Linked DNA regions of Canis lupus familiaris. The protein of the gene in region 1 binds, or shares a complex with, the protein of each later gene. Links are inferred from orthologs where the notes say so. Each region holds a gene or a part of one and is shown on either strand. Other genes may lie near its edges.

What was found. Proteins that work in one complex are often made in the same cells at the same time.
Region 2: KIF11 (region 1) and RBM10 share a complex: the UniProt entries of both Homo sapiens proteins name them as parts of the large chromatin remodeling complex. The link is inferred for Canis lupus familiaris from reciprocal best matches to the Homo sapiens genes KIF11 and RBM10.

What each region holds. Positions count from the first base shown.
Region 1 is NC_049249.1:7,211,052-7,214,439, forward strand, and holds the end of KIF11 (kinesin-like protein KIF11), read left to right. Parts: intron 1-1,469; coding exon 1,470-1,589; 3' UTR 1,590-2,885; downstream 2,886-3,388. UniProt on the Homo sapiens protein: Motor protein required for establishing a bipolar spindle and thus contributing to chromosome congression during mitosis. Required in non-mitotic cells for transport of secretory proteins from the Golgi complex to the cell surface.
Region 2 is NC_049260.1:40,973,813-40,976,980, forward strand, and holds part of RBM10 (RNA-binding protein 10), read left to right. Parts: intron 1-117; coding exon 118-294; intron 295-673; coding exon 674-834; intron 835-1,021; coding exon 1,022-1,119; intron 1,120-1,205; coding exon 1,206-1,293; intron 1,294-1,910; coding exon 1,911-2,097; intron 2,098-2,207; coding exon 2,208-2,350; intron 2,351-2,470; coding exon 2,471-2,588; intron 2,589-2,687; coding exon 2,688-2,779; intron 2,780-2,867; coding exon 2,868-3,032; intron 3,033-3,168. UniProt on the Homo sapiens protein: Binds to ssRNA containing the consensus sequence 5'-AGGUAA-3'. May be involved in post-transcriptional processing, most probably in mRNA splicing. Binds to RNA homopolymers, with a preference for poly(G) and poly(U) and little for poly(A).

The DNA of each region.
Region 1 (3,388 bases):
ATATAGTCTGTGATGGAAGGATTTTCTCACATGAGACATTGATATCTACATTTTACAGTTGAAGGGCTGCTTCTGATAAGCCTATGTTTTTTTTTTTAAATTTTTTTATTTATTTATGATAGTCACAGAGAGAGAGAGGGAGGCAGAGACACAGGCAGAGGGAGAAGCAGGCTCCATGCACCGGGAGCCTGATGTGGGATTCGATCCCGGGTCTCCAGGATCGCGCCCTGGGCCAAAGGCAGGCGCCAAACCGCTGCGCCACCCAGGGATCCCTAAGCCTATGTTTTTATATCTCTTAGACTTTCAGGTCTTCCCAGCAAGGCCTAAAGATCCTCCATCCATGATTTAAGCTGTTAAAACTTCTAGCTTAATTTCTGTTAAATTCCTCTCTCTTTGTCTCAAGATAATTTTATCCCCAAATCATCCCTGCCTTTTGCTTTATTCTTTACTACTAGAGAACTCTAAATATATTTCCATTTTTCAATCCTCTCTTCTATCTTTAAAGTTAAGGAAAGAAGGAAAGTTAAGAAAAGAGAACCTTAGTTACTACTGAATCCCCGGTTGGAAATCCTTTCATTATTACTGTTTATGGCATTTTGAAGACTAGACTTAGTGGTTGATCTATGGCAGGGAAGGCCCTACAGTATCAAAAAAGACTTGGGATTGGATTTTACACCTTCCGCTGAAGTCTGAAAATTTTTTTTTCCCTGCTAGCAGTCTCATGGAGAAATTTTCTGGGTTTGAAATTCTGGAGGTGGTTTATGATTTGTCTTATCATAGATGACTGGATTCTGCAATGAATGTCATTAGTCTCTTAAAGCCTTCTATGGGCAAGTATGAGAATTCTAGTGAAAAATAATTCCTAAGTGAGAAATATGAAGTAAGTTTTAAAAGAAAAGGTAAAAGACAGTTAAAATGTCTTGAGGTAGCCATCAGATTCTCTGCTTAAGATAGAATTCCTTTTTTTTTTTTTGCATGATATCAAATCTTTGTTTTCCTAGAGCAGGATTTCTTAATAGCAGCACTATTGACTGTTTGAGCTGAAAAATCCTTTGTTGTGGTGGACTAACTTGTATGTTTAACAGCATCCGTGGCTTCTATCCACTAGAAGCCAGTAGCAGTTCCTAGTTTTAACAAACAAAAATGTCTCCAGATACTACCAAATATACTCTAGGGGAGGTAAAATTGCTCTCTGTTGAGAACTACTTCCCTACAGTAAAATCCATAATTTTGCCTTGAAAAATCATGCATAAAGTTAATATTTCATTCACTTCACTCCTTCCATTGATGGTTAGTTGAAGAAGGCATTCATTTCTACTTGACATACAAATTGTTGGCTCCAATTTGTGCTGAGCCTTTTCCACACTTAATTTCTTGCTGATAACTCAGAGAACTTTGAAAATAGAGTATAGCTAATATGTATCAAATGTTACTTTATATTGATTTAATTTCTCCCTTGATGTCCACAGCATAAAAAGTCACATGGAAAAGACAAAGAAAACAGAGGCATTAATTCAGTGGAGAGGCCTAAAGTGGAAGAAACTACAGAGCATTCTGTTACAAGGAGCAGATTACCTCTACGAGCCTAGATAAATCTTTAGTTAACTTGAGGATCGGTAATTCTATTTTTAAGAAAAATGAAAAATAAACCTAGAACTCCAGAACTTGAGCCTTATGTATAGACAAAAAACAAATGGAAAATATCAAGGCAATACTGTATATTTAGTTGAATTTAAAATGTCTACTGCTCATTTTTCTATCATCCCTGTAGTACACTGTGTATTAAGTTGGGTTTTATTTGGGATTTACATTGAGTAAATATGTATTTTTAGCTTTCGACATAAAATAGCCCTTTCCTAACAAATGAAAAATATTTTTCTTATATATCACTAGGCAGCACATATAGAGAAGTTGCACTGTTTTCTAGGCTTTAACTTACATAGGTAAATATTGCCAACTCAGTCTTGGGAAGGCACATCTCTTACTTTTCTTGCTGTAATTGAATTATGTCTAATATCGGCTTACTTCCTTCCCTAGACTTTTCCATTCTGCATTCTTAGCTTGCTTTCTCCTTTTTCATTTGTGTCCAAACCATTTGTAGAGCTGCAAAATGGTATCTATTCATATTATAAGGTATCCTGAATTTTACCTAGAAGTCTTGAACACTTTCTGTGGTGCTATTAAGATTACTGTCAACAATAAACAAATTCTAGAAGTATTCCTTCCTTCAATATTTTTAGTTTGTTTCTCCCTAGATGAAAAGCATTCTTTATGAGGCCTAACACATTAGCCCCCACAGAGTTCATAAAAAGCCAGCTTCTCTAGAATGTAGATTACTCTTATGGGAGAACTACCATAAGATCTCTGATTAATGGCTGTGTGGCCTATATCTTGTGCAGAAGGTCTCAGTGATTTAAGGGCTTTTTGAAACTATTAATTATGACTATAATTTATATCCTTTTGCTTGCTTACTTGAAACTTTTTGTACTTTGTATATAATAAAATATGTATATGTATGTTTTTCCTTAGTGAAATCTTAACCCTTAGAAAGGTCCTAACAGTTTTTATCTAGCAGCCAAATTTCTGGAAGCTGGATTTTTCAGCATGAAGAACAAGCACACTTAGAAGGAATATAGGCAAAGAAAAAATTTTGTGCCTACATCAAGTTAAGTGTATAAATTTTAGAGAGATTTGACTGTGATAGCTAAGTAAAGCCAAACCCAATTGGAGAATTAGAAAATGGCTACTTCAAGGAACTAAATTTACCTTGCAAAAGTATTAATTACCTTAATGAAAATAATGCTGCAATTTCCCTGCAAAATCAGATGTCAACATAAGCTATGGATAATATCTAATAAACTGCCCTCAGGAAATCCATTAATAAATTTGGTTTCTTTTTTTCTTTTTAAAGATTTTATTTATGTATTCATGAGAGGCAGAAACATAGGCAGAGGGAGAAGGCAGGGAGCTTGCTGCAGGACTCGATCCCAGGACTTGGATCATGATCTGAGCCAAAGGGAGAAGCTAAACCACTGAGCTACTCAGTTGTCCCAATAAATTTGGTTTCTGCATTAACTTGCTTGCCCTATTATTTATTTGGCAATGGATCTGTTTATAGAGTTCCAGCAAGTTGTTCTAAAATTCCTAAAATACACTTCCACACAGATAATCACCCAAGATGAAGGACCTTGATAATCCTAGGCTCTTTCAATTGCATTCTAAGGGGCTATACCCTAAGGTAAGTATAAGATTGATGAGAAACAGATGGGTCTTCACAGGGCCTGATGTCCAGCTGTAAGTCATCTGTTTCCTGACATTAAAGGCACCTAGGAATGCTAATACAACTGACAGACAAAAATAAATCACTGGAGAATTTTAAAAAATTTTA
Region 2 (3,168 bases), on another chromosome or scaffold:
CCTCCTGCCTCCTCCCTCCCCCCCACCCAGGGTGTTGGTGGAAGAGGGGAGGAAGAGGGTGACCAGCCTTGGAGCCTCCCCCTTTGTCATCGGCCTATCTTCTGCGACCCCTGACAGAGGCAGAGCAGAAGCTGCCCCTGGGCGCAAGGCTGGATCAGCAGACGCTGCCACTGGGTGGACGGGAGCTAAGCCAGGGCCTGCTCCCCCTGCCACAGCCCTACCAGGCCCAGGGAGTGCTGGCCTCCCAAGCCCTGTCACAGGGCTCAGAGCCAAGCTCAGAGAACGCCAATGACAGTGAGTCAGTTGTTCCTTCCTTTCTCCCTGCCCTAGGGTGTCTGGGCCGGGCTCTCCAAGACCAGAGAGATGGTGGTGACCAGGACTTAATCCTCCCAGGGTCTCTGCCTGGCAGGGGGACAGAAGTGATGTAGGGAGAGCAGAGGAGGAGCATTGCCCGACTCGACTTTGGGGGTGTGTTGGGAAGGGTCTCAGCAGGTGAGCGACTGAGCTGGGACTTGGACTAACAAGCAGAGTTTATCCAGGAGGAAGAGGTGAGAGGAAGCAGCAAGGGCAAAGACACAGAGGCCAGAGGAGAGGGGCAGTGGGGAGCCATCAGAGGGGTAGGGCTGGAGCAGAGTGTCAGGGGTGCCCCCTAATGCTGGGCCGCTTCCCACAGCCATCATTTTGCGCAACCTGAACCCACACAGCACCATGGACTCCATCCTGGGGGCCCTGGCACCCTACGCGGTGCTGTCCTCCTCCAATGTCCGTGTCATCAAGGACAAGCAGACCCAACTGAACCGTGGCTTCGCCTTCATCCAGCTCTCCACCATCGTGGTGAGGGCGGCACAGGGGGGGGCCGGGCAGCCAGGGTCCCGGCCCCCGGGGTGGGGAGGAGGGACCCTGACCCACACCCCCCCATTTCACCCCGCGCCACCGCGGCTCCAAGCCTGGCGACAGGGCAATGGAGCCGGGGGCCTCCCCGGGCCTGACCCTTCTGCCCCTGCCTCCCTTACTCCCCCAGGAGGCAGCCCAGCTCCTGCAGATCCTGCAGGCCCTGCACCCACCACTCACCATTGACGGCAAGACCATCAACGTTGAGTTTGCCAAGGGTTCTAAGAGGTCAGGACCCCACCTATGCCCCTTCCTAGCTGGCCCCCCAGCCTGGGGCTTCCCATCTCACTCCCAGTCTCTGACATCCTCCCCAGGGACATGGCCTCCAACGAAGGCAGTCGCATCAATGCTGCCTCTGTGGCCAGTACTGCCATTGCCGCGGCCCAGTGGGCCATCTCACAGGTACTCAAAGACTCCCCTCTGCCCTAGCATCCCCATACTGGGGCCACGGTCTCGACCCTCTCGTGCCCTCTCTGCAACCAAGAGGGCTGGCTTGCTGTCTGGCTTTCCCTGGACCCCAAACCCTTTCACAGTGGCTGCTATTGGCTTTGGGGGCCTTGCTGCAGCTCCCTTCCCAGTCACCTCCTCCCGGGCTTTCAACTTCAACACCATCGTGACTGCTTTTCGCTTGTATTTGGTGGTTATTTTATCGACCTGCATTGTTACAACTTTGTTAATAAAATGGAATTTATAAATGGCTGAAAGAAAATTGGGAGAGGAGAATAAAGAAGGGGAGGACAGTGTCTTCTTGACCTGACAACCCAGCTCTTGAACTATGCCACACACATACCAGTGTCAGCCCTGGGGGTGTTTTGGCACATGTCTTCGGTGGATTCTTGTTTTTGCCGCTGCCCTGCCTTGCTGTGGCTGGGTGGCCCTCACACTTCACTTGTCTGAGGCCTGCATGCTTTCTGTCAGCAGACAGACACTAGCCTCACCTGTGGGCAAATGCTTCTTAGCAGGTTCCCCTCCCCCTGCGCCCCTTCCTCTGCTAATGAGCCCCTCCCACTGCCCCTCAGGCCTCCCAGGGTGGGGAGGGTGCCTGGGCCACCCCCGAGGAGCCACCGGTCGACTACAGCTACTACCAACAGGATGAGGGCTATGGCGGCAGCCAGGGCACAGAGTCATCCCTCTATGCCCATGGCTACCTCAAGGGCACCAAGGGCCCCGGCATCACTGGAACTAAAGGGGACCCATCTGGAGCAGGTGAGGCCCAACATCTGTCTCTGAGCATTTTGTGGGGTTAGGGAGGGTGGCAGGCCCTGGGTCCTGCCTGTTCACAGGCATTCTCCTTCCTTCCCTGTTCTTCATTACAGGTTCAGAGGCCTCCCTGGAGCCTGGGGCAGACCCCGTGTCACTGCAGGCTTTCTCTCGAGCCCAGCCTGGTGCTGCCCCTGGCATCTATCAGCAATCAGCAGCTGAAGCGAGTGGCAGCCAGGGCGCTGCTGCCAACAGCCAGGTGAGGGAGCTTGAGGGGTTCCTGGGTGTCAGGCAGGGGATCTTGGGTTGTTGCGGGGCGTGGGTACAGGAGGCTTTGGCAGACATTGAGTCCTGTTACCCTGTCTGGCCCCATGACCAGTCATATACCATCATGTCACCTGCTGTGCTCAAATCTGAGCTCCAGAGCCCTACTCATCCCAGTTCTGCCTTGCCACCGGCCACCAGCCCCACTGCCCAGGAGTCCTACAGCCAGTACCGTGAGTAGCCATGGCCTGTGGGTGGTAGGGAGGCGGGGAGTTCCTTAACAAAGCAGAGAGGAGTGTGACCCCCCCTCCTTTCTCACTACCCCCCCCCAGCTGTTCCTGACGTCTCTACCTACCAGTATGATGAGACATCTGGCTACTACTATGACCCCCAGACTGGTCTCTACTATGACCCCAACTCCCAGGTGATAGGGTAGCCCAGGGAGTGGGTGGGGTCTGCAGTTCCCCTTCGGAGGTCTTCCCTCACACCCCCCTCCCTCACCCCTCCCCCAGTATTATTACAACGCTCAAAGCCAGCAGTACCTGTACTGGGACGGGGAAAGGCGGACCTACGTCCCTGCCCTGGAGCAGTCGGCCGACGGGCATAAGGAGACGGGGGCCCCCTCAAAGGAGGGTAAAGAGAAGAAGGAGAAGCACAAGACCAAGACAGCCCAACAGGTGAACACTGGGGGTCCAGCAGTCACTGGCTAGCTATTTAATGTCTTCTGATGAATGCATTTCTATCATCTTTAAGCCTTTGCTGCTGAGGGACAGGGGTGGATGTGAGCATGGGAGTGACCATGCTCAAGAGAGA